7 linked regions of the Callithrix jacchus genome follow. The protein of the gene in region 1 interacts with the protein of each later gene in a biochemical or structural test. Links are inferred from orthologs where the notes say so. Each region holds a gene or a part of one and is shown in the gene's direction. Other genes may lie near its edges.

The links.
Region 2: the proteins of ERBB2 (region 1) and BLNK form a complex in vitro, tested with the Homo sapiens proteins (2 studies listed by BioGRID and IntAct, with this or other methods). The link is inferred for Callithrix jacchus from reciprocal best matches to the Homo sapiens genes ERBB2 and BLNK.
Region 3: the proteins of ERBB2 (region 1) and SHC3 form a complex in vitro, tested with the Homo sapiens proteins (2 studies listed by BioGRID and IntAct, with this or other methods). The link is inferred for Callithrix jacchus from reciprocal best matches to the Homo sapiens genes ERBB2 and SHC3.
Region 4: the proteins of ERBB2 (region 1) and SHC2 form a complex in vitro, tested with the Homo sapiens proteins (2 studies listed by BioGRID and IntAct, with this or other methods). The link is inferred for Callithrix jacchus from reciprocal best matches to the Homo sapiens genes ERBB2 and SHC2.
Region 5: the proteins of ERBB2 (region 1) and BLK form a complex in vitro, tested with the Homo sapiens proteins (2 studies listed by BioGRID and IntAct, with this or other methods). The link is inferred for Callithrix jacchus from reciprocal best matches to the Homo sapiens genes ERBB2 and BLK.
Region 6: the proteins of ERBB2 (region 1) and PTPN11 form a complex in vitro, tested with the Homo sapiens proteins (2 studies listed by BioGRID and IntAct, with this or other methods). The link is inferred for Callithrix jacchus from reciprocal best matches to the Homo sapiens genes ERBB2 and PTPN11.
Region 7: the proteins of ERBB2 (region 1) and GRAP2 form a complex in vitro, tested with the Homo sapiens proteins (2 studies listed by BioGRID and IntAct, with this or other methods). The link is inferred for Callithrix jacchus from reciprocal best matches to the Homo sapiens genes ERBB2 and GRAP2.

The regions. Positions count from the first base shown.
Region 1 is NC_133506.1:120,174,685-120,178,184, forward strand, and holds part of ERBB2 (receptor tyrosine-protein kinase erbB-2), read left to right. Parts: intron 1-2,681; coding exon 2,682-2,755; intron 2,756-2,841; coding exon 2,842-2,932; intron 2,933-3,120; coding exon 3,121-3,320; intron 3,321-3,500. UniProt on the Homo sapiens protein: Protein tyrosine kinase that is part of several cell surface receptor complexes, but that apparently needs a coreceptor for ligand binding. Essential component of a neuregulin-receptor complex, although neuregulins do not interact with it alone.
Region 2 is NC_133513.1:89,066,060-89,069,559, reverse strand, and holds part of BLNK (B-cell linker protein), read left to right. Parts: intron 1-669; coding exon 670-826; intron 827-3,500. UniProt on the Homo sapiens protein: Functions as a central linker protein, downstream of the B-cell receptor (BCR), bridging the SYK kinase to a multitude of signaling pathways and regulating biological outcomes of B-cell function and development.
Region 3 is NC_133502.1:73,024,775-73,029,066, reverse strand, and holds the start of SHC3 (SHC-transforming protein 3), read left to right. Parts: upstream 1-1,492; 5' UTR 1,493-1,850; coding exon 1,851-2,324; intron 2,325-3,336; exon of another isoform or gene 3,337-3,383; coding exon of another isoform or gene 3,384-3,428; intron 3,429-4,292. UniProt on the Homo sapiens protein: Signaling adapter that couples activated growth factor receptors to signaling pathway in neurons. Involved in the signal transduction pathways of neurotrophin-activated Trk receptors in cortical neurons.
Region 4 is NC_133523.1:421,351-424,850, reverse strand, and holds part of SHC2 (SHC-transforming protein 2), read left to right. Parts: intron 1-1,854; coding exon 1,855-2,162; intron 2,163-3,500. UniProt on the Homo sapiens protein: Signaling adapter that couples activated growth factor receptors to signaling pathway in neurons. Involved in the signal transduction pathways of neurotrophin-activated Trk receptors in cortical neurons.
Region 5 is NC_133514.1:10,499,035-10,502,534, reverse strand, and holds part of BLK (tyrosine-protein kinase Blk), read left to right. Parts: intron 1-1,025; coding exon 1,026-1,176; intron 1,177-2,739; coding exon 2,740-2,871; intron 2,872-3,500. UniProt on the Homo sapiens protein: Non-receptor tyrosine kinase involved in B-lymphocyte development, differentiation and signaling. B-cell receptor (BCR) signaling requires a tight regulation of several protein tyrosine kinases and phosphatases, and associated coreceptors.
Region 6 is NC_133510.1:115,365,349-115,369,498, forward strand, and holds the start of PTPN11 (tyrosine-protein phosphatase non-receptor type 11), read left to right. Parts: upstream 1-1,350; 5' UTR 1,351-1,557; coding exon 1,558-1,571; intron 1,572-4,150. UniProt on the Homo sapiens protein: Acts downstream of various receptor and cytoplasmic protein tyrosine kinases to participate in the signal transduction from the cell surface to the nucleus. Positively regulates MAPK signal transduction pathway. Dephosphorylates GAB1, ARHGAP35 and EGFR.
Region 7 is NC_133502.1:190,692,082-190,695,581, forward strand, and holds part of GRAP2 (GRB2-related adapter protein 2), read left to right. Parts: intron 1-2,338; coding exon 2,339-2,507; intron 2,508-3,500. UniProt on the Homo sapiens protein: Interacts with SLP-76 to regulate NF-AT activation. Binds to tyrosine-phosphorylated shc.

The DNA.
Region 1 (3,500 bases):
GGCCTTTGGGGTGGGGGTGGTTATTTTTGTAAAGGACATGCGATCTGTGAACAAGGACTTGTAAGGAGGTCAGACCATCTAGATAAAGCAAAATTCCCTTTGAGTTCATAGCAGCTTGATTTAAAATATCCCCAAATTATAAAAAACTCAAATGTGCATAACTAGATGAAAGGTTAAACAAGCGGCAGTATATCCATTTGGTGAAATTCTACTTAGCAACAGAAGGAGATGAGCTACCAATACAACATGAATGAATCTCAGGCACATTGCACTGAGCAAAAGAAGCCAAGATTCCATCCTGTCTGATCCCCTTTATGTGAGGCTGTGAACACACAAAACCACTCTGTGGCTGGAGAGATCAGGACGGTGGCTGCGCTAGTGTGTGTGGGGCCTCAAAAGGGAGGGACACAAGGGACATTTCTGGGGTAACAGAAAAATGTTCTGGGTCAGGCATGGTGGCTCATGCCTGTAATTCCACCACTTTGGGAGGCTGAGGAGAGTGGCTCATGAGGTCAGGAGTTCGAGACCAGCCTGACCAACATGGTGAAACCCTGTCTCAGCTAAACATACAAAAATTATCCAGGCGTGGTGGTGCGTGCCTGTAATCCCAGCTACTCAGGGGGCTAAGGCAGGAGAATCGCTTGAACCTGGGAGGCAGAGGTTGCAGTGAGCCAAGATCGTGGCTCTGCACTCCAGCCTGGGCAACAAAGGAAGACTCTGTCTCAAAAAAAAAAAAAAAAAAAAAAAAAGAGAAAGAAAAATGTTCTGTATATTGATTGGGGTAGTGGATACATGAGTGAGTGCTTTTGTCAAAACATCAAACTGTATGCTCAGAGTCTGTGTATTTTATTGTATATAAGTTATACTTCAATAAAAAATGAATTGGGGCCAGGCACAGTGGCTCACACCTGTAATTCCAGCACTTTGGGAGGTTCAGGCAGGCAGATCACTTGAGGTCAGGAGTTCAAGACTAGCCTGGCCAATGTGGTGAAACCCTGTCTCTACAATAAAAAAATTAGCCAGGCTTGGTGGTGTGCGCATGTAGTCCCAGCTAGTTGGGAGGCTGAGCCAGGAGAATCGCTTGAACCTGGGAGGTGAAGGTTGCAGTGAGCTATTTTGCCACTGCACTCCAGCCTGGGCAACAGAATGAGACCCTGTTGCAAAAAAAAAAAAAAAAAAAAAGCACCAGGCTCGGTGGTGCACATTACAGGCATTGGCTCACACCTGTAATCCCAGCACTTTGGGAGGCTGAGGCAGGAGGATTGATTAGCCCAGGAGTTCAAGGAAACATAGTGAAATCCCATCCTTACAAAGAACAGAAAAAATTAGCCAGGCATGGTGGTGTTCACCTGTAGTCTCAGCTACTAGGGAGACTGAGGTGGGAGAATCACCTGAGCCTGGGAGGTGGAGGTTGCAGTGAGTTGACATCATGCCACTGCACTGCTGAAAGAGTGAGACCCTGTCTCAAGAAAAAGAAAGAAAAGAAAATTCTCTTTCATGTTTCCTTTACCTCCACTCTCCAGTCCAGAGGGGATCAGGGTTAACAGTGTGTCTGTTTATCTAGACCATTTATGCATCTGTAGACACACAGTGAAGTGTGGTTTTCACTGTTTTGGTGGGGAGGTTGGTTTCTGTAAACGGGAGCATATGGGGAGCACTGTCTGCACCTTGCTTTGGGAGTCGAACTGCCTTGTTCTCTCAATAGCTGCTGAGAAGATGGCAGCAAGGAGAGGCAGCTAAGAGCCCAGACTTGGGAGCCAGACTACCTAGGTTTGAAACCTGGAGCCAGACTACTTGGCTGTACTACTTACTAGGCATGTGACCCTCATGCTGTGCTTCAGTTTCCTCATCTGTAAAATGGGACCAAGAATAGTCCCAGCCTCATAAGATGATTGTATCACTGTGCCTGGCCAGATGATTATAAAATTTGAATGAGTTAATATTTGTGTTTTTTTTGTTTTGTTTTGTTTTTTGTTTTGAGACAGAGTTTCGCTGTTGTTACCCAGGCTGGAGTGCAATGGCATGATCTCGGCTCACCATAACCTCCGCCTCCTGGGTTCAAGCAATTCTCCTGCCTCAGCCTCCCGAGTAGCTGGGACTACAGGCACGCACCACCATGCCCAGCTAATTTTTGTATTTTTAGTAGAGACAGGGTTTCACCTTGTTGACCAGGATGGTCTCGATCTCTTGACCTCGTGATCTACCCGCCTTGGCCTCCCAAAGTGCTGGGATTACAGGAGTGAGCCACTGCACCCGGCCTCTGAGTTAATATTTGTAAAGCTCTTGGAACAGTGCCTGGCAGATACTAAGTGCTCCTAAATGCTGGTTTTTATTATGTGGTCTGGTGGCTCAGGGTTTTATTTAACAGCTCCCCTATTTACTAATAGACATTGGGATCATGTTCCATTTTCACTCTTACAAACAGTTCCACCTCGTATGTGGCTCTGGGAACACAGGCCAGTGTCTCCCTAGGTCACATTCCTAGAAACAAGATTTCTAGATCAAAGGATAAATACTGTTTTCATAGATGCTGCCAAACTAAGGCCTGGGCTTTGAAGTCCTGGATGGGCAAAGGGTTTGAGGGAAGGCATTCACGGCGGGGAGTGGGCTGGCACACCCAGCGCTGGGAGTGATGTCCAGCCTGTTCTTGGCCCTGCTGACTCCTCTCCTGATTCCTCCAGGGACCCAGCCTCCAACACCGTCCCCCTACAGCCAGAGCAGCTCCAAGTGTTTGAGACTCTGGAAGAGATCACAGGTGGGCCCTGTCTTTGTATCATGCTCTGCAGGGGCTGGGAGTCCTTGTCGTGTCTCCAACCCCCTCATCTCACCCTCTACCTGCAGGTTACCTGTACATCTCAGCATGGCCAGACAGCCTGCCCGACCTCAGCGTCTTCCAGAACCTGCAAGTAATCCGAGGACGAATTCTGCACAAGTGAGCACTGGGAAAGAGGGGGCCTGATAGGGGAGGAGTCCCTGTGGGAAGCTTTTGGCCTGGGGGAGTACTCCTTTTCCCCCGGGACACAGCAGTAACCTTTCCGTGAGAGTTTGTAGAGTGTGCTGGGGACAGAGGAAGATGAAGGTAGCCTTTGCTGACTGTGAAGGGCGTGCGTTCTCCCATAGTGGCGCCTACTTGCTGACCCTGCAAGGCCTGGGCATCAGCTGGCTGGGGCTGCGCTCACTGCGGGAACTGGGCAGTGGACTGGCCCTCATCCACCACAATGCACGCCTCTGCTTCGTGCACACGGTGCCCTGGGACAATCTCTTCCGGAACCCGCACCAAGCCCTGCTCCACACTGCCAACCGGCCAGAGCATGAGTGTGGTAAGACAGGGAGCCCAGTGTGTACTCCCCATCTGCCAGCACATAGGAGTGCCCACAGGGTTCTGGCAGCAGCGTTCTTGGACTTGTTCAGGCTGCCTGTCCCTGTGCACCCTCTTGACTCAGCTCTGGCTGGCTTGGCCTCTTGGCATGGCTTCTCTAGCTGGGTCCTACCTGCCTTGG
Region 2 (3,500 bases), on another chromosome or scaffold:
GCTGGTCTCCTGAGCTCAGGCGATCTGCCCACCTCAACTTCCCAAAGTGCTAGAATTATAGGCATGAGCCACCACGGTAGCCCCTTTTTCTATCCTTTTTATTTATTTATTTATTTATTTTTTTTTTTTTTTGAGACAGAGTCTCACTCCGTCACCAGGTGCCAGACTGGAGTGCAATGGCGCGATCTTGGCTCACTGCAACCTCCGCTTCCTGGGTTCAAGCAATTCTCCTGCCTCAGCTTCCTGAGTATCTGGGATTACAAGCACGTGCCACCATGCCCAGCTAATTTTTGTATTTTTAGTAGAGACGGGGTTTCACCATGTTAGCCAGGATGGTCTCGATCTCCTGACCTTGTGATCAGCCTTTTTAAAAATAGGTTTTATTATCCCCTACTGTTATTCCTTGTGGATCTACAGAGAGTCAACTCCCAATAGCGTTAAGTGGTTCATGTGTACCCCCAGGACAGCACAGTGGTTGAAGGGATAAACTTTGGCGGTAAAAATGCCTGCTTCAAACCCCAGCTTTGCCTCTTACCAACTGCCTAGCCTTGGCAGCTTCTCCAAGTCTTGGCGTCACTGCTTCAGCCTCCCAAGGCAGCAATGGTCCTGACTATGGCGAGGGCAGCACAGACAGGGATGCCAAGCACAGTAACTGCATTGCACTTGCAGGACAGTGACTATGAAAATCCAGACGAGCACTCGGATTCAGAGATGTACGTGATGCCTGCCGAGGAGAATGTGGATGACAGCTACGAGCCGCCTCCGGTGGAGCAGGAGACCAGGCCGGTTCACCCAGCCCTGCCCTTCGCCAGGGGCGAGTATGTAGGTGAGGCCCCCTGCAGACCTGGGCACTCTGCCTTCCAGGCCCATGAGACGGTGGGGTGGCCGAGATTGCAGGGTGGGAGCAAACGTGGCTGCTGCCTGAGGGCTTCTGCCTGCCTCCCACTCCCATCACCTCCGAGCAGGGGTTCTGGTCTCTCAGTTAATGAAGCTCAAGCTATAAGGGTTTCTCATTCCAGGGGAACGGGCATCTTTCCTAGATTGGGAACATTGAAAGCAGCCAAAAATAAATAAATAAATAAAACCAGCATACCCTGATCATTGTGCCCCCTGACCAACAGTCACAGGGAAAGCAGCCCTGAGATTAGTCCCCACTTTTAGTGCTTCATGTGCTCCAGATGCTGGAATTTTCCTAAAGTCTGTACAGAACAATGACCTTCAAGGATCCCAGTGTCTGCCTGTCCTTATTCCCATGCCTAGTCCAGACTGTGGCATTTTACCAGGGGGTACAGGTGCTCAGAAGCCCCAAGCTTGGAATCAGCCTCATGCGTTAAATGGACACAGCTAAGCTTATGTCTGGGCAGACACTTTTTCTTTCTTTCTTTCTTTCTTTTTTTTTTAGACAGAGTCTTGTTCTGTCACCCAGGCTGGAGTGCAGTGGCATGAAGTTGGCTCGCTGCAACCTCTGCCTCCTGGATTCAACCTCCTGCCTCAGCCTCTCAAGTAGCTGGAATCACAGATGCCCACCACCACACCCGGCTAATTTTTGTATTTTTAGTAGAGACAGAATTTCCTCATGTTGGCCAGGCTGGTCTCGAACTCCTGCAGTGCACCAGAACTATGCTAAGCACTGAGCATTCAGCTGCAAGCAAGACGGACAGACTCCCAGAGCTCTTCTCATTTACAGTTTAGGGCTTTCCCCTGGGAGTCCACTTAGCCCCCCTCAATAATCTTGTGAAAGAGGTCAGAGGAATGAACTGACTGGGCCAAAGTTCTCTAAGTGACGGAGCTGGGATACAGGCCAGGCCTCTCAGCTCCCGAAGCCCAACTCTTCACAACTCTGCTCTAGGTACCACTCACCATACTTGCTGAACGACCTTTTTCAGTCATCATAGCAACCCTGAGAAGGAAACAGCTGCTGCAATTCAGGGTGGTTAAGTGGCTCATTCAAGAGCACACTCTTGGCTCGGCACAGTGGCTTATACCTGTAACCTTGCACTTTGGGAGGCTGAAGTAGGTGGATCACCTGAGGTCAGGAGTTTGAGACCAGCCTGGCCAACATGGTAAAACCCCTTCTCTACTAAAAATACAAAAATTAGCCAGGCATGGTGGTGGGTGTCTATAATCTCAGTGACTCTGGAGACTGAGGCAGGAGAATCACTTGAACCTGGGAGGCAGAGGTTGCAGTGAACAGAGATCACACCACTGCACTCCAGTCTGGTCAGCAGAGCAAGACTCTGTCTCAAAAATAAAAATAAAAAATAAAAATGGAGGAACGATCCAAGATGGTCGATTGATAACAGCTCGGGATTGCAGCTTTCAGTCAAAGCGCAGAGGACTAGAGGACGCCACACTTTTAGACAAATTCTGGTCACTCCTGGAGCAGAAGATCCCCAGTGGAGGAACCACACGGGTCGCCAGCGCGACTCTTGTGGCCAGTGCAGCGGCTTCGCCGGCACCTCGGTGCGGCAGCTCTTGGAGCAGAGTAAACAGGGCCGGCTCCCCTTCTGACCGAGATTTGGAGGACCCACACGGGTCCCCAGCACGACTCCTGACAGCTGGCGCAGCGGCTGTGATCGCACCTCGGCGCGGCAGCTCTCGGCGCAGAATAAACAAGACTGGTTCCCCTTCTGACTGAGGTTTGGAGCCCGGGGAAGGCAGAGTCGCCCATTAGGGACACAAGAAGGAAGCCAGACAGGAGAATCCTGGGCAGAAAAGCACCATCAGTCTTAACACCTCCGTTCTGGCCCTGGGAACTAACAACTTGGACATCCAATCAAGAGACCTAATCTGAAAGTTGGTAATTTCAAAGACGACAGGAGGATAAATTTACAATAATGGGAAGAAACCAGCGTAAAAAGGCTGAGAATACTCAAAATCAGAACGCCTCTCCCTCTAAAGATGATCACAGTTCCACATCAACAATGGAACAAGGCTTGATGGAGAACGAGCACATCCCAATAAGTTTCTTATTATCTTCAAGGAATGGATAATAAGAAACTTCTGTGAGTTAAAAGAACATGTTGTAGCCCAACATAAAGAAACTAGGAACTTTGAAAAAAGGTTTGACGAAATCCTATTGAGAATAGACAACTTAGAGAGGAATATAAGTGAATTAATGGAACTGAAGAATACAATACAGGAACTCTGAGAAGTATGCACAGGTTTAAACACTTGAATTGTTCAAGCAGAAGAAAGGATAACAGAGGTCAAAGTCCAACTTAATGAAAGAAAACAAGAAGACAAATTAGAGAAAAAAGGCTAAAAAGGAATGAGCAAAGTCTCCAAGAAATGTGGGACTATGTGAAAAGACCAAATTTACGTTTGATAGGTGTACCTGAATGCGACGGAGAGAATGAATCCAAGCTGGAAAATACTCTTCAAGATATTATTCAGGAAAATTTTCCTGAACTAGCAAAGCAGGTCAATATTCAACCCCAGGTAATACAGAGAACACCACAAAGATATTCCTCAAGAAGAGCAACCCCAAGGCACATAAT
Region 3 (4,292 bases), on another chromosome or scaffold:
TTGTCCGCATCTAATGAAGATCTCGCTTTGGGAATGATAGGGCTGTTTCGCTTCAGATCTGGGGAGGACTCTGATAACCATCAAAATCTTCTATGGGGTGTGCAATTGCTGTTGCTATGCAAGCCAGGGGAAAGGAACAAATGAGTGCCGTGTGGCTGTTCTGCTAGGGCTGCGGCACAGGAGGCGAGCCGTGGGGACGCGCTTCCTGTGCCGGGGACGCCGCGGCTCCTCTGCGCTCCTGCGTCCTAGTGGTTGGCTTCACCCGCTCGCCCGCCATGAGTGGTGCTCATTAAACGCTGCTCCGTAGAGCAGGGTTCAAGACTGGGGACCTCACGTGCCCCACATGTTCGGTCATGGGCGTGAGAGGACTCAGGGTGACCTGAGAGTGCGCTAAAGGTGAATTTATTCTCTTGCTCGGAAGTTGCGGGGAAACTTTGATAGTGAGTGTTTCACTGTGGAGCAGGTGATCTTAATGCATGAGGAAGGCTGGCAGAGCCCACTGAAGTCAAGAGTCAGCTTCAGTCTCGGGCAGACCTTCGGGGACGGCGAAAGCCTTGCTCTCCTAACTGAGAGGAAGAAGGCCTGTGCATTTTACTTGCAAGCCCGAGCCTGACTCCTGAAAAGAAGGCATATTTTCCCCCCTGTGGATTTGATGTGCAATGAGAACAGCTGCATTTTTTCCTTCCTGACTGCAGGGTTGCAAGCAGCAACCGAAGGAACACTGAAATGTATTTGCAGCATTTCTTAGGCGTTTTTCCAGACCTTAAACACATTCAGTAGGAATAAAGCTTCAAATGCAGCCCCTATTTTGGAATGGATTTCTGGAGCCTGTAGCCACTCGTCAAAGCAGCAGTTTTCTTCTTTTTTGGACGTGGATATTCAACTTAACCCTGGCTGAGAAAGACTGCTGTAAATTAGCAGGGAAGACCCCTTGATTGGCACTGTGCAGAAGTTCATATGCAGATTTTTTTTTTAAGGAACTGCATTGCCACAAAGACACTTGTCATCGCTGCTCTGTTCATTTGAAAAGAAAAAGAAAAACCCAGGAAATTGGTATTTTATGTTCACCTGGTGGTGAATATCCTTTTTGTTTTTTCTATTTAAAAATTCCTGCTGCCTTCCAAGTCAGGATTCATCAGGATTCGCTGAAGATCTGATTCTTAAAAAGCCTTCGTCACATTTTAACGCATCGCTGTTAGACACTTTTACAGGCTCACACAGATGGGCTGAGCAGGGACGAGCAAACCCTAACAGAATAATGGGTTTCAGAAAGTTCATTTGACGATTTGAAGGAACTGGATTGGATTTACCTTTGGCACAAATGCAGAGTGCGGGGGATGGGAAGGTGAAAAATCAAAGGTTGGAAGGAAATCTCTGGGAAGGTAGAAAAAGGAAATTTGAGAATTGATTGGCTCTAGTGTGCTGTCAGCGGGTGGATGTCGTTTTTTTCTTCTTTTTTCCTTTTTTTTTTTTCTGCTACAGGAAGTGATTTGCAGTGCTCACCGAGCCTTTGTTGAGAAGGGTCTCCTCTCAGAGTGAGTCATGCTTTTGCTGTGAGCAGCCCCAAGCAGCTGGGCGCTCCATCAGAGGCAACTATGACTTTTGCAAAGCAAACGTGCAACCCCAAGCAGTGGTCTCCCGGGCCGGGGCTGCGCGGCCGCTGCTGTGCTGGTTTTTAATGGTGGGAGGGCACCATTCTCGTGCTCTGCTCTCCCTCTCCAGAAGGCTGTCCCGGGGCCCCCACTCTCCGTCCCGCTCCGGGGACAGCGGCTCGCCTGCTATGCGCGGCAGCCCGCGCCGGGGCCGGCACCAGCAGCGCCCGGGCGGATGCAGCGAGCCCACGGAGGGGCATGCTTCCACGCACCAAGTACAACCGCTTCAGGAATGACTCGGTGACATCGGTCGATGACCTTCTCCACAGTCTGTCGGTGAGCGGCGGCGGAGGCAAGGTCTCGGCGGCGCGCTCGACCCCGGCTGCGGCTCCCTACTTGGTGTCCGGCGAGGCGCTGCGCAAGGCGCCCGACGATGGGCCCGGCAGCCTGGGCCACCTGCTCCACAAGGTGTCCCACCTGAAACTCTCCAGCTCCGGCCTCCGCGGCCTGTCGTCGGCCGCCCGGGAGCGGGCGGGCGCGCGGCTCTCCGGCAGCTGCAGCGCGCCCAGCCTGGCTGCCCCGGACGGCAGCGCGCCCCCGGCGCCCCGCGCCCCGGCCATGAACGCCGCCAGGAAAGGCCGGCCAGGCGACGAGCCGCTGCCCAGGCCCCCTCGGGGGGCGCCGCACGCCAGCGACCAGGTGCTGGGGCCCGGAGTCACCTACGTGGTCAAGGTGGGTGTGAGCGCGGGCTGCCCTGGGTGTCGGGGGTCCCGGGGCCTGTGTGGGGGCCAGTTCGGGGCAGACCCCTTCCTTCCCTGAAGCCCGGAGTGCGGGGCGTACCCGCGACTGTCACGTTAGAGGCAAGAAAATGCGCACTCCTTAGTAATCACCTAGCTTGACAGCGGTGAGGAGGGAACTACAAATGCGCCTTTCCAGCATCCTTTGGGAAAAGGTTTACCACTCGGGTGACCCGCTCCGTCCCGATTTTCCCTGGGCTCCACTTTTTTGGCACGCCTTTGCCACCTGGCTTACCAGATGTCCGGCCAGTGTCGTGGGCGCCCAGTCCTGGACAGCGGGGGTCCGGTCTGCCTAGTATCTAGGAAACGCGCTGGGGAGACCTGGGCAGCCCCGGGGAGGAGAAAGCACGGAGTGGCCCTACTCCTGCTGTGTCTTCCCCTGCAGGAGGGTGGGTACCTTATTCCCACCGCAGCAAGAATTCCCAGCTCCTTGCAGAGCAGGCCAAATGCTGTGTTGCTTTCTCTTCGACGGGCTCTACTTTCTCACCCAGGCCAGGTTTTCTTTGGGTTTGTCTTTCATTCCTTAAGGAAAGGTTCTGGTTTACAGCAGCGAAACAAGAATTCTAGGACTACTTTTCTGGTGACTGTAGTCTTCCATTTAAATGTGCTAAAAAGGAACGAGGGCGCTGAGCTAGGAGCCACAGGCTGGAAAGGAGTTTTTTTCCTCCAACACAAAGATGATAAAATCACGATGTAGTCCATAAAATTCCACCCTTATGCAAGCGTGCTGTGATATTTAAGGAAAAATCCTCAGCACAGTTCAAGTAATCTGCCACGCGGTTATTTCCTTCTGTCCGTTGGGCAGCCCCGAGCTTTCCCAGCCTCCACAGCCGAGCAGACATCCCCTACACAAGGGGTTAAGGTTGGAAGTTGCAGTGTTACAATCCTGCCACTCCAAGGCATGGCTTTGTATTGAAAAAGAAATGAGACACAAACTCTATCCCCTCGGTGTCCTCAATAACACTGAGAAACCCGCAGGATGTCTATTCCGTAAATGCTGCAGATTCCAGTTTTAAAATCCAACAGAACATATTCTCAGGTAAAATGCAATATCTGGTAATTTTGGAACCAAATCATTAACAGAAATACTTAACTTTATGGGTTGCCTTTAAGTATATAAAAAGTACTTGCAGATGAATGTGACCATTGGTCTTAGAAGAGGGCCTCTTCATCTTTTCAGTCTGCCTTTTAATTTAATCTTGATTTTAGCTTCTAAGTATAATTATTTTATTTTACCAAAGGAATAGAAATGAGCATAAAATATACATATTTGGTTGAGTTTATTTTAAGAGAAACTGAAGATTCTTCTTGTTTTGCTTATTTAAATTATGTAACCAGGGGCCAAAAACAAAAAGGATAAACCAAAGCAAGCAAGCAAACAAACAAAAACCTCTGATGGCTTTGAGGCTGTGTTGACTTCTAGAGTGTGAGTATAATGGCTGTTTTAAAAAGACTACATTTCAAATAGACAAACAGACCTTGGCAAAGCTTTTTGTACCTGTCATATTAAACAGAGTTGTTTTCAAATTGAGGGAGAATTCTCAAACTTGCCTTTAAATTTTTGTTTTAATCACTTTACTTAGGGCTTTGCTTTGGCTTTGTAAAAAAGAAGGCAGGCATCCAGTTTGAAAGGTCAAAAGTGGCAAAATTATGATGAATGTCCTAAAATAAGACAGCTCGCCACCGACAATCTGTTGCTGTAAGTTTGTGACTTACCGGCAGCATCAGCAGCAGTATTCATGGTCAAAGGGCTGGATCTGCACAGAGCTTATCTGTGTCTTGGGAATACTTTCTGTTGCCACATTTAAGGGGTTGCAGTAACGGGTGGCAGTGCATGGCATGATTAATTAGGGCTCTGTACCGTCCATGGTTTGCTTCATTGTTCACTGGCCACTGTGAATGG
Region 4 (3,500 bases), on another chromosome or scaffold:
ATCCCCCCACCGTCTGAAGGGAGGGGGTTCGTCATTTCTTGAAAGAATGGTCCATGTGGCGGGAGGCTGCGGCCCCCTCTGTGAGACCCTCCGGTCAACAGGGGAAGCCAGACCCACGCTCCATGCCCTGCGGACTCCTTAGTCCGAGAGGGGAGGCCTTGTCTTTTCTCTGTGGGACCTGCTGCCTGCCGGGGCTCGGGTGGCCACCTGCTCTGTGGGTCGTGCACCCGACTCTGGGACTCCCTGATCTGATGAGGAAATTAAGCTTTCTCTCCATGTGACTCCGAGGATTCTTCCTATGGAAGTCCCAGCCTGACGGGGGAGGCGCAGCTTCCTGCTTGAAGGAACCCCTGGTCCAAGGAGGGAGGCTCGGTCCACACCCCGACACAGTGGCTAGTCGGATGGAGCCCCTTCCTTCCTTCCTTCCCAGTGGGATGGCCCAGCCCGAGGGAGGCCCCAGTCTGAAGGAGGAGGCTCGTCCTTCCTCGCCAAAGGTGTCCAGAGTTGTCTCTGGATTTCCTGCAGCGTCCGTGCTGCAGCACGAGGGGTGCTGGCTCTGAGCTGCCGGGTGGGGTCCTCGCCCAGGCCCCGGACACCTCCCCAGCTGGCTGTAGGTTCCTTCCTTCCCTCCACCCTCTGACAACGCAGCTTCTTAGCATCACACTGATGACACCAGCTGGCACCCAGTGGGCGCCTCCTCAGCACCAAGCGCTGCACAGAGCCAGGCCCTCTCGGCCCCTCGCGGCAGCCTCAGATGGGAAAGGAGGGGCTTGAGCTGTGAGTTCCCTCCGAGGCAGGCGACCCTCAGGGCGACCGGACTGACTGCCAAGCAGCCCCCAGTGAGGGAGGGCGGCTTCTCGTCTGTCCTCCACGCAGAGTCCTCTGGCTGCTTCTGATTTGCCACATGGTTATTCCCAAACCAACTGCTGGCTGGAGGGCGAGGAACATGCAGAGTGGCCAGGCTAGGAGTCGGAGGTGGCTCAGCGCCAGGGTCAGGGCGGGAGGACTCCGGGGACCAGGAGCTGGAGGAGTGCAGGGCCACCCCACCACAGGGAGACCAGGTGGTAAGGGTCAGGGTGGGAGGACTCCGGGACCAGGAGTTAGAGGAATTCGAGGCCACCCCACCCACAGGTAGCTGCATCTCCGTCAGGGCCGGGGTCCCGGGCTGCAGCGTCTGAGCTGCACTGCTTTCTGCCTGGGGAAACACCCACCCCTGCTTTACAGCGAGGGGACTGAGGCTCCCAGGAGGCCTGAGTGGCCTGTTGGAGGTTGGTACCATTGGAACCTTCAGGAAACCCGGGCGGATGATTAAGAGGGTTTTCGCTGGCGCTCAGGACCACAGAGGGAGCCTGCTCCCGTGTGGGCGTGTGGCGTGTGCTGGAGGTCGTGGCCAGCGCAGTAAGGCCAGTGAGGAAACAGGAGGGGACCCTTCAGGAAGGAAGCCCGCCTAACAAGGCGAGAAGGAGAAATAGGAGTTTATGTCTGAAACACAGAGTGGCTGCCGCCCTCTTACAAGCTTACAAAACTCAGCCCGGGCTTCCAGCTGCTGCACACGTGAGCCACAGCACGCATGGGGCTGAGTGGAGTGCGGGTCTGATACGCTGTGGGTGCTCGGTCAGCGCAGGCCGATAAGGTCAGGGGGGGCCTCCCCGGGGAACCCGTTCCTCCCAGCCCTCGTCCTGGCAGGAGCAGCTGCCCAGACCCCTACGTGGTCCCTGCCCTCCCAGCTCTCCTGTCCCTGGTCTGCAGGATTCCTAGGGGAACCCGTTGCTCTCAGCTCTGGTCCCGGCAGGAGTAGCTGCCCAGCCCCCTACGCGGCCCCTGCCCGCCCAGCACTGCTGTCCTTGCCCACAGGACCCTTTGAGGATGCCTTGAAGCTGCATGAGTGCTCAGTGGCCACGGGTACAGCAGCCCCCCTTCCCTTGGAGGACCAGTGGCCCAGCCCCCCAACCCGCCGGGCCCCAGTGGCCCCTACAGAGGAGCAGCTGCGGCAGGAGCCCTGGTACCACGGCCGGATGAGCCGCCGGGCGGCAGAGAGGCTGCTTCGTGCGGACGGGGACTTCCTGGTGCGGGACAGCGTCACCAACCCCGGGCAGTATGTCCTCACTGGCATGCACGCGGGGCGGCCCAAGCACCTGCTGCTGGTGGACCCTGAGGGCGCGGTGAGTGGGCACAGCTGGGGGGAGTCTGTGGGCATCCGACCCTGAGGGTGCGGTGAGTGGGCACAGCTGGGGGTTCTGTGGGCATCCGACCCCGAGGGTGTGGTGAGTGGGCACGGCTGGGGGGTCTGTGGGCATCCGACACCGAGGGCACGGTGAGTGGGCACAGCTGGGGGGCCTGTGGGCATATGACCCCAAGGGCATGGTGAGTGGGCACAGCTGGGGGGTCTGTGGGCATGACACCGAGGGCACGGTGAGTGGGCACAGCTGGGGGGTCTGTGGGCATGACACTGAGGGCACGTTGAGTGGGCACAACTGGGGGGTCTGTGGGCATCGAACCCCGAGGGTGTGGTGAGTGGGCACGGCTGGGGGGTCTGCGGGCATCCAACCCCGAGGGTGCGGTGAGTGGGCACGGCTGGGGAGTCTGTGGGCATCCGACCTGGAGGGCGCGGTGAGTGGGCACAGCTGGGGGGGTCTGTGGGCATATGACCCCGAGGGCACGGTGAGTGGGCACAGCTGGGGGTCTGTGGGCATCCGACCCCTAGGGCATGGTGAGTGGGCACAGCTTGGGGGTCTGTGGGCATATAACCCTGAGGGCACGGTGAGTGGGCACAGCTGGGGGGGTCTGTGGGCATCCGACCCGGAGGGCGTGGTGAGTGGGCACAGCTGGGGGGTCTGTGGGCATCCGACCCGGAGGGCGTGGTGAGTGGGCACAGCTGGGGAGTCTGTGGGCATCCGACCCAGAGGGCGTGGTGAGTGGGCACAGCTGGGGGGTCTGTGGGCATCTGACCCGGAGGGCGTGGTGAGTGGGCACAGCTGGGGGGTCTGTGGGCATATGACCCCGAGGGCATGGTGAGTGGGCATAGCTGGGGGTCTGTGGGCATCTGACTCCGAGGGCACGGTGAGTGGGCACAGCTGGGGGTCTGTGGGCATATAACCCTGAGGGCACGGTGAGTGGGCACAGCTGGGGGGGTCTGTGGGCATCCGACCCGGAGGGCGTGGTGAGTGGGCACAGCTGGGGGGTCTGTGGGCATCCGACCCGGAGGGCGTGGTGAGTGGGCACAGCTGGGGAGTCTGTGGGCATCCGACCCAGAGGGCGTGGTGAGTGGGCACAGCTGGGGGGTCTGTGGGCATCTGACCCGGAGGGCGTGGTGAGTGGGCACAGCTGGGGGGTCTGTGGGCATATGACCCCGAGGGCATGGTGAGTGGGCATAGCTGGGGGTCTGTGGGCATCTGACTCCGAGGGCACGGTGAGTGGGCACAGCTGGGGGTCTGTGGGCATATGACCCCGAGGGCACGGTGAGTGGGCACAGCTGGGAGGTCTGTGGACATCGACCCCGA
Region 5 (3,500 bases), on another chromosome or scaffold:
GGATGGAAGGATGGATGGATGAATAGATGGATGGATGGATGTGTGGATGGATGGATAGATGGATGGTTGGATGGATGTGTGGATGGATGGATGGATGGATGTGTGGATGGATGGATGGAAGGATGGATGGATGGATGAGTTGGATGCATGGATAGATGGATGGATTCATGGATAAACCAATGAAATGCAAGCATCAGGTGAAGTGGGATCAATTCTAGTGCTGGCTTCTTGTAGTCGCAAGTCTGATGAGGTAAATGTGCTCTCTGTTTTCTGTCTGCCTTAGTTTCTCCATCCACTGATTGAATAAAGCCTTAGTTTCCTCAGCTACAAGGCACCAAGCAGCACAAGCTGCTATCCCTGGCCCAGCTGGTGAGCTGGGGAGCAGAGACCAGGCTTGTCTTCCTCACGGTCTCTGTCCACTCGGATCTGCCAGTGCTCCCTGCGTGCCCCCATGAGGCAGGTGTTGGGCAAGGTCCTCGGCCACAAGTCACCTCATCTAATGCTTGCCTCAACCCCGCGCCCTGAAAACCATATCCCTCACGTTCCAGGTCAGGACTGTGGCCCCTCGGGGAGGTTAAGCACTTCCTGGAGGTCAGTGACTCCAGCCGAGGGCTCCCAGCTCCAGGAGCTGTGCTCCCAGCCAGCCGGGGAGAGTCGCCTGTCCCTGTCTCCTGCTCCCCGTCTCCTTCCTTCCCTTTCTTCTTTTCTCCCTCACTCTCCTTTTCTCCTGTCTGTGTTCTTCTACCTTCCATCTCTGCAGACCTTGGACACAGCTGTGTCGAGGGAAAATGAGGAGGGGGAGGGGCACAGGTAGCCCGGTGTCTCTGATGCCCACGTTGCTGCCGTCCTGGGCTTCTAGGACAGGGGTTTATTCAGCTGAGGAGCAGCACAGCCAACTTTCTACTCCACCCAAGAAGCAGCTCCTTCCCCAGCAGCCCACAGGGGCTGTGCAGGGGCCACAGGGTGGGCTCGGTCCTGGTGTGGAGGCCCCCATGATGTACTTCACCGTGTACCTGTTCCCTCAGATTGCTGAAGGGATGGCGTACATCGAGCGCATGAATTCCATCCACCGCGACCTGCGGGCGGCTAACATCCTGGTGTCTGAGACCTTGTGCTGCAAGATTGCTGATTTTGGCTTGGCTCGGATCATCGACAGTGAATACATGGCCCAGGAGGGTGAGTACAGCCCCCAACCACGAGAGAAACCTGAGCCCTTACCTTCCCCAGCCCCTCAAAGCCCCCTTAATTCCTCCCAGCACAGCCCTGAGGGAAGACACCCGAGGGCTAGACTGTTTCCAAACTCTACATCAGCATTTCTTTCACTTCCCCGATGTGTTCAGCAGCACAGTAGTGCCCCAAGACCTCCCACGGAGGAACAGCTTTAGGATAAGGTTGGTTTGGAGAAACAGTAGTCCACCCCCTCCCTGCCTTGGAGATTCCCAGTGTATATCAACATATTAAAGGCACTGAGAAGTCCTGCAGCAAAGGAACCGTTTACATTCGCCTCACCTAGTGCCTCCCAAACTAATTTGAGCTCCAAATACTTTTTTTTTTTTTTTTTTTGAGATGGAGTCTCTGTCACTCAGGCTGGAGTGCAGTGGCACAATCTTGGCTCACTACAGCCTCTGCCTCCTGGGTTCAAGCAATTCTCCTGCCTCAGCCTCCCAAGTAGACGGGATTACAGGCAAATACCACTACACCTGGCTAATTTTTGTATTTTTAGTACAGACAGGGTTTCACCATGTTGGCCAGGCTGGTCTTGAACCCTTGACCTCAGGTGATCCACCTGCCTCGGCCTCCCAAAGTGCTGAGATTACAGGCATGAGCCACCGTACCCAGCCCCAGATACTATTTTTATGTAGCGCCTATTAACCTTCCACAGAAGTAGGCTTTCCCAGAGCACACTGTGGGAAACACAGCTTTCATGCGTGAGCAGCAAACCTTCTGAATTACGGGGTCCACGGAGCATTCTGTCTGATTCTGTGAATTAGAATCTCCACAGAGCCCTCTGTCTTACTCTGTGAATATAATTGAGGTGGAAATCTCCTTCACAAGAGAAACTGAAGTGATCACACACATTTATCAAGCAAGCAAGCTGTATTCGCTTAGCGTACGAGTGACAGCCAGACGGGATATGGTTTGCTCTCTCGGGAACTCAGGCTGGCTGGGGAGACCGAGAAATGTAGGCCAGGGGAGGCCATGATGTGCCAGACTCTGAGGCCTGCTCCAAATGCTGGCCAGGCCCAGCCACCTCGGGCTTCACAGGGTGGCCGGATGTGAGTCCTTCCTCGGAGCGGCCTCCCAGGTGCCAGTGTCACCGTTTCCATTTGGCAGGAAGGGACTCACAGAGGCTCCACCAGCTTTGAATGGCTCACCCAGGCTGTGTTTTCTTTATTAAACAAGGCCCCTGTGAGGCGGAACACGCCCCTTCCATCCCAGGTGGAAATGTGGTGGCTGCCCATTGACGCCACTCACTCTATTTTTAAAGAACCAAAGTGGGACTGCATGGTACCAGTGTCCATATTGTCCTTCTGTGCTGCAGATGCCTCTGCACTCACCTGGCATGCATCCTGGTGTGTGGCAGTGGCTCCCCCACCGTGTCTGGCTGCCCTGTCCTGCAAGGCCCCACAGTGGGGGACTAAGGGAAGGACAGCAGGAGCAGGGGTAGGGTGAGGGTAGGGTGGAGAGTAGAGGCCACCCACCATGGCCTCCCAAAGCTGTGCATGGCTTTTCCTGCAGGGGCCAAGTTCCCCATCAAGTGGACTGCCCCAGAAGCCATCCACTTCGGGGTCTTCACCATCAAAGCTGATGTGTGGTCATTTGGAGTCCTCCTGATGGAAGTCGTCACTTACGGGCGGGTGCCATACCCAGGTAGGCGGCTCGCTCCGCAGCTCTCACGGGCTTCCTGCTTTCCCTGCTGGCTCTGGCGGCAGGTCCTGTCCCTGTGCCTGTGGCTGCCCCCTTCTTTTCAGAGTAAGTCCCAGGGTGGGGACGGAGACCCAGGTGTGGCATCTGGGGTGGAGCTCTGGCCCCTGCATCACTATGACTCCAGGCCACAGGGCTGCCTCCTTCCTCCAGCAAAGGTCACAAGCCTCACAGACTGGAATCAAGACAAAGGCACACCCGAATTCAAAGTTATTCCCAGTGGTCTGTTCTCAGTTGAGGACGGGTTGTGCCTACCTTGGCATCACACCCATAGTGGATTCCAAAAGCCCCATCCTGAATGGGCAGAATCGTGGACGCCAGCCCCCAGCCCCCAGCCCCTGTCAGAAGGGCTTGGATGGCTTGGGCCGGGCAGCTGGGCAGGCTCTGGGTCACCTGCTGCTGTGTGCACCTGCCAGCTGCCCGTGAGTGATGGGCTTAGCTGTGCCCCTGGCAGTCACAGTAATCAAGACATGGAGGGTGCCATCCACAGAGGACCTGCCCAACACGCAGGAGAAAATCTTTCTTTCCTAGGCGTTCCTAAGCAATAAAAAGGACTGTTTAGAGGCTGGGCCTGT
Region 6 (4,150 bases), on another chromosome or scaffold:
ATATATTAAAAGTGATCTTTGTCAGGAGCATGAGTGCTGAAGCAGTTAGCACACAGTATGAGAGTTATTTGTATGTGAATGTAATGGACAAGCATTAAACAAATGAGGATTCTGGAGCTATGTAGACATGGGTTAAACTTATGGCTCTGCCATTCACTAAATCTGTGCCCTTTATTTATTTTTGAGAAGTAGTTTAGCTCTGTTGCCCAGGATGGAGTGCAGTGGTGCAATCTGGGCTCACTGCAACCTCTGCCTGTCCGGGTCAAGCAATTCTCCTACCTCAGCCTTCCGAGTAGCTGGGTCTACAGGTGTGCGCCACCAATCTCCACTAATCTTTTTATTTCTAGTAGAGACAGGATTTCACCAAATTTGCCAGGCTCGTCTTGAACTCCTGACCTCAAGTGATCCATTCTTCTCGGCCTCCCAAAGTGCTGGGATGGCGTGAGCCACCATACCTTGCCTGAGCAGTAGCACGATCTCGGCTCACTGCAGTCTCAACTTTCCAGGCTCGAGTAATCCTCACCTCAGACTCCGGAGTAGCTGGGACTACAGGTGCGCGCCACCACGCCCAGTCAATTTTTGTATTTTTTTTTGTAGAGATGGGATCTCACTATTTTTACCGGGCTGGTCACTAACTCCTGGGCTCAAGTGATTCGCCGGCCTCTGGGATTTCAGGCGTGCGCCATAGCGCTCAGCCCAAAGTATTTTTTTTTTTTTTTTAAGGCAGGGTCTCGCCCTGTCGCCCAGGCGGAAGTGCAGTGGTGTGATCACAACTCACTACAGCCCGGACTTCTCGGGCTCAAGTGATCCTCCCGCCGCAGCCTCCACGCCCGGTTAGTTTTTTTCTATTTTTTTGTAGAAAAGATGAGGCCTCGCTTTGTTGCCCAAGCTGTCCTCGAACTCCTGGGCTCAAGCGATCCTCCAGCCGCAGCCTCCCAAAATGTTGGGATGGTGGGCCTGAGCCACCGCGCCCGGCCTACTATCTTTATCTTACATAAATAAATAATGGAGGAAACTGAGGCTCGGAGACAGTAAGTAATTTCCCTAAGGTTCCATCCACAGCTAATGAGAGGAGCGGCGATTTGTGGAACGAAATGAATGAAATCGATGTGGCAGCGGGCCCGAAAGCGCCGGGTCGGTGAAGCCGCGTAGAGGCGGAGCGCACAGCTCACACCCGGTGGCCGCGGTTTTCAGGAGGAAACGTGGGTGCTTTGGTCACTGCGCGTGGCGCCTCCGCGGAGACCCCGCGCTGCCATTCTCGGCCGTCGCTCAGTTCTCGGCTGACGGGAAGCAGGAAGTGGCGGCGGGCGTCGCGAGCGGTGACATCACGGGGCGACGGCAGCGAAGGGCGGGGGCGGAGGAGGAGCGAGCCGGGCCGGGGGGCGGCTGCACAGTCTCCGGGATCCCCAGGCCTGGAGGGGGGTCTGTGCGCGGCCGGCTGGCTCTGTCCTGCGTCCGGTCCCGAGCGGGCCTCCCTCGGGCCAGCCCGATGTGACCGAGCCCAGCGGAGCCTGAGCAAGGAGCGGGTCCGTCGCGGAGCCGGAGGGCGGGAGGAACATGACATCGCGGAGGTGAGGAGCCCTGAGGGGCCCGGCTCGGGCCTCGGCCCGGCCCCCGCCGCGCTCTGTCAGCCCCGTCCGGAAGGGGGCGCCCCGGCCGGGCTTCGGACTGCCGTCCCGGATCGGGTTGGGGGCAGGTTCCCTCCTCGTCCCCTCGCCCTCCCGGGGCCGGAGGCCGACCCCACCGCGCCCCGACCCCTCGGGTTCCCATTCATTTCCTGCCTCCCCGAGTTCCGGCTGCGGCAGCCCGGGGGATGCCCGTCAGGCCCCGGGCAGGTAGAGCCGCCGAGGGAACCACGGGCGCCGGCGGACCGGCTCAGCGCCGCATTCCTGACCCATTGCCTCATGAGAATTGCCTCATGGTGATTCCGAAATAACTGCTCACTTGGGGAGGCTCCTTGGGACATGAGAGGGGAGTTGCGTGGGGCCGGACCCCCAGTGGTCTAGCCGTTTTGGGTCACTGTGCCACTTGCGTGCATTTGGGGACTACGCAGGACCCCTGAGGCTTTTACATGCCCCTTTGTGTCTTCTTTTTCTCCTACCCCTCACGTGCCAGAAATGGAAAAACTGACTGTATGTGCAGCCACTAGAAGTATTTCCTTCCTCTGCGATCTTCGCTTTGGGAGATGAAAAGGAAGGGAGCCACATTCTCGTTATTTAATCCTTCACTGCAACCTTAAAGTCAGGTCACTTTACTGGTACCCGTTTTATGGATGAGGAAACCGAGGCCCAGAAGTTACGTGCTGTAAATGACAAAATTTGAAACTAAGGAGGATTAGTGAGTTAATGAGATCCTTTGAAAGGTCAGGGTAAATATACTACTAATAGCTAACATTTGCTTAGTTCTGGCGGCCCTATCAGATGGCTGTTATCCTCATTGTAAAGATGAGTAGGCCGAGATTCAAAGGTTAAGCAAATTGCCTCACAGCAAGTAGGTGGTGGAGACAGAATCCCTACCTTTAATCAGTATGTTGCTTCTATTATTTTGTAACTATTTGTAAGCCTTAATTTTGTTGTCAAACAGTGGTGTGACCTGTTGTTTTCAGATAATGATCCTGTTATTTTGTGTGGTCACTGTATATACCACCACACTTAAGACCCATTATCTATTCTTTTCCATGGTTGTTCAATTATGGTCACTGTCATAGACATTTAAAAAGCGATTCAAGCTATTGGGGCTATTTGAATGAGACTTTTCAAAATATTAGGAATGCCTCCTCCAAACACACCTGCCATGTTATTCATACATGGATCTGAAGCTTAAAAAGGGGAGAAAAAAGAAAACTGAGAACTGGTTGGAAGTGAGTGACTTGGACAGGTCTGTTGGCAAGTGTTTACAGATCTGGGTAATATATAACTGCATTTCAACAGAACAGTGTGTAGCCTCAAATGTTCTAATTCTTTAGGGAGCTTTTAAATAAAACAGTTGTCTATTCTTTAATCTGTCAAATAGTCATTGAGCCTTTTGTTCCTGGTGTCTGCTCTTCCAGACAAGTAAGGATCTGCTGCTTTAGGAGACAAAAAGAAAGGGGGCTGGGGGTTGGGAAAAGGTCTGGGGAGTAATAGACCCTACATTGTCCAGTTTGTTGGTTTAGAAGCAGAGAAGTGTGGGCATAGTCAAAGCAGCAAGTAAATGGTAAAGATGACAGTTTGAAAATGGAGCAATGACTTCTCCCCTCCAGCCCTGATATTGTGTACCACCCAAAAAGCCAGATTATGAACATAATACATATAATTTTGAATGATTTATTTTTTTTGGATTGTGAATCTGTTTTATTTGTTAAGCAGCCTTAATAAGGTATAAATGACATATGATAAATTGCATATATTTAAATGTACAATTTCATCAGTTTTGGCATACATATACACTTGGGAAACCATCACCACAGTCAAGATAATGAACACATCTACCATCTCTCGTGATTTTGCCTCGTGTTCTTTATAATCCCTCCTTTGTTCTTAGGCTTTCTGTCACTATATATTAGTTTGCATTTCCTAGAATTTTATTTTTTAAAAATTTTAAAATTGTTAGAATAGAGATGGGGTCTTGCCGTGTTGCCCACGGCAGTCTCAAACTCCTTTGTTCAGGTGATCCTCTCACCTTGGCCTCCTGAAGTATTGGGATTATAGGTATGAGCCACCCTGCGCAGCCCTAGAATTTTATTTTATTATTATTGTTATTATGATGGTTTTTTTGAGATAGTGTCTCACTCTGCTGCCCAGGCTGGAGTGCAGTGGTGTGGTCACTGCAGCCTTGATTTCCTTGGCTCCCTCCCTCCTCAGCTTCCCAATTAGTGGGGCTACAGGTGTGTACCACCACACCTGGCTAATTTTTGTATTTTTTTTGTAGAGACAGGGTTTTGCCATGTTGGCCAGGCTGGTCTCAAACTCCTGTGCTCAAGCGATCCTCCTGCTTTGGCCTCCCAAAGTGCTGGGATTATAGGCATGAGACACTGTGCCCGGACTTCAAATTATTTTAACCTAGTATTAATTCATTCAACAAGTAGTTAATGAGCCAGGTAGGATAAAGCAATAAATAGGGATATATTGCTGTTTTCGTGGCTGAGAGAGAGCAAACAAACACATGACTA
Region 7 (3,500 bases), on another chromosome or scaffold:
GATTCTTATGCCTCAGCCTCCCCAGTAGCTGGGACCACAGGTTTGCACCACCACACACAGCTAATTTGTGTCTGTGAGTAGGGATTTAGTAGAGAGGGGGTTTTGCCATGTTGTCCAGGCTTGTCTTGAACTCCTGGCCTCATGTGATCTTTCCGCCTTGGCCTCCCAAAGTTCTGGGCTTACGGGCATGAGCCATCACACCCGACCCTGAAACTATGGTTTATATTTCCTTTATTAAAATGAATTTTACAAAACAGCCTTGACTTCTGCCAAAGTCTTCCCCTGATATTGAGGCAATGAAGCTTCTAGTTCTGGTGGCAATTACCATAATCATTATCACATCTTCTACAGAAATGTAGTATAATATATTCCAAAGCAAAATCATTGTTAATTATTTTTACATCTGTCATGGGCACAGATAATTAAGAGCTAATTGTAGTTCTATCACTCTGCATTTGTTAAGGGCCTAAACCACTAGATTTCAGAGTCTATTGCCCTGAATCGCATCCTTTCCTCTGTTCCTCTTCAGGCTTGAGACAGTGGTCAGGCCTCTCCTTGTAGACCCAGATGACCAATTACAACCCTCACATCCATCTTTACAGCTCGTCAGAGTAAAAGGGGCAGTGTTTCACACTCTGAGTTCTTTGACTATGAGGTGGTGGATGAATAAATTATAATATCACAAGTATATTTCCTCCTCCTGACCCAGATGTGAAGGGTAATGACTTTGAGTTGAGCCACGTTGTCTTAGAATGAAGAAAGTATCTATTGGTGGCCAAAAACCAAAGGGAAGCCTACGCAGTGATTGTGATGTATTGATTACCACCCCAAATCAGTCAAGCCAGAGGCCACTTGTACAACCTTTGGCTTCACCCCGCTATGAGCAAATCCCAGCACATAAGATGAGATTGAGGGTCAGAATTTCCATCTCCTTTTTAACACAGATCCATAAATCCATCCCTAAGAAACCTCCACTTACTCTCAGAGGTATCTTTATTCTCTGAGACCCTTTAAAATCCTTAACCTTTCTTTTCTATCAGGCAGTTGGCATCACTAGTGCCAATTTATTTTTAGATATAAATGTATGACTGTTTGAAAAACAGACTTACTTCCAAAAGAGAATGACTTGGCAATGAAGTAATACTGGATCTAATAATGGTAAAGGCTCAGCCCACCCTTCCTAGATAGATGAAATCCATTTTCTCTAGCCCTGCTTCACACGTGTCCCATCACTTGTGAATCTAAACTGGTATCAAAAGGTGCTGATCTAAAAGACGTTATCACAGGCCAAGCTCACTAGACTGGAGTCAGAGACTCAGGGGTTCTGGCCTCAACCCTGGGCCTCTCTGAGTCCTCTCAGTGTTCTCATCTGTGAAATGGAGAAGTAAGGCTAAACAATCTCCAAGATCCTTTTCAATTAAAACTCTGATCATTCTACCCGGCATGGTGGCTCACATCTGTAATCCTAGCACTTTGGGAGGCCAAAGTGGGTGGATCACCAGAGGTCAGAACTTTAAGACCAGCCTGACCAACATGGTTAAACCCAATCTTTACTAAAACTATGAAAAAGTTAGCCGTTAGCCAGGCATTGGGTGGGCGCTTGTAATCCCAGTTACTCAGGAGGCTGAGACAGGAGAATCACTTGAACCTGAAGACAGAGGTTGCAATGAGCCAAGATCGCACCACTACACTCCAGCCTGGGCAACAGAGTGAGACTCTGTCTAAAAAAAAAAAAAAAGAAAAGAAACATTTAAAACCTCTGATTTCATACAAAGCTATTTTCCCCAAAAGCTGAAAATGCTTTGTAACCTTATTTATGCAAAACATAAACCAAGATCAAGAGATTCTTACTACATAGAGAACAAATGTGACATATTTCTTAGGGAAGAGAGTAGCTTCTTACCTGCCAGTGCTGGTTTATGAGCTTAAAGGAAGTGGTTCAAAGTACTCTGGTAACAGAAAGATAATAGGAGCTTGAAATACCCACACTGAGATTTTGCAAATAGACATTGTGAAAAGGTCTTTGATCTCTCAGTCGTTACAACACTTGGAACATGCTTTTCTTGTTAAAGGTTAGTTCCAGTGTCCAAGACAAATTTTAGCTCATCTCATTACCTTCTTCTGATGTAAATCCCCTCTATCATAGCTTGTATCCTAAGTGGTTCATCCTACAAAGCTCCTGCTGAAGCCTGACTGGGCTGGCCCACCTGCCTGGTGATGAGGGAGTCATCCAAATCTACATCTCCTTCCCAAAGAGAGCTGCATCCCAGATGCAAGCAGCCTGGAGGCAGGGACATCATCATAGTATAACATACAGTTTCTTTGCCTTGATCTCCAGGCATGAGGATGACGTTCAACACTTCAAGGTCATGCGAGACAATAAGGGCAGTTACTTCCTATGGACGGAGAAGTTCCCCTCCCTAAATAAGCTGGTGGACTACTACAGGACAACCTCTATCTCCAAACAGAAGCAGATCTTCCTCAGAGACAGAACCCGAGAAGACCAGGTATGTTCCAGGTCCCGATCAACCCCAATCCAGAGAGTTTAGGCAGCCTGAGTTCTGACTCAAACCACCAGGAAAAATGCATGGGCGGGGCAGATCCTCTCAGTAGACTGAAAGACAGAACTCTGAACTCTGAGTGCAACACTTCCCAGTTGTGTGACTTTGGAAGTTGTCTGAGCCTCAGCCTCCTCATCCATAAAATAGGGATAATGGTAATATCTACCTCCCAGGTGACTACGAAGGTGGGAGAAGATGATGTGTCTCATGCTTCCTGTTATTCCTCACCATACTGCACTAGACAAACATCAGCTCCCACCGCAGGTGCTGGGTTTTCTTTTATGTATTTATTTTATTTTTTTTGAGATGGAGTCTTGCTCTGTCTCCCAGGCTAGAGTACAGTGGTATAATCTTGGCCCACTGCAACCTCTGCCTCCCAGGGTCAAGTGATTCTCCTGCCTCAGCCTCCTGAGTAGCTGGGACTATAGGCGCAAACCACCACGCCTGGCTAATTTTTGTATTTGTAGTAGAGACGGGGTTTCACCATGTTGGTCAGGCTGGTCTCGAACTCCTGACCTCATGACCCACCAGTCTCTGCCTCCCAAAGTGTTGGGATTACAGGCGTGAGCCACCATGCCCAGCCACAGGTGCTATTTTTTTGTTATTTGTAGACATTGCTACACCATAGTTTTCAACCGAGCGTAAGAGTTGCCCAAGGATGAAGGAGTTGGGGGTGCAACAGACAAGGGCATTAAGGAACAGCCTAGGGTCCGGGGATTAAATAGCAGGTTGAGTGTGATGATAGGATTGGGGGTGGGGAGGACACAAGGAGAAATCTGCACTTGGAATTCTTGCTGTTGGAACTGTTTGCAACACAGAGTATTGCTTTAAAAGAAAATGCATCAGACAGACCTGGTATGAAATCCTGATTTAATCGCTTAGCTACTTGTATTACCTAGCCAAGTTAAGAAACCTTCTGAGTATCAGTTTTCTCATCTG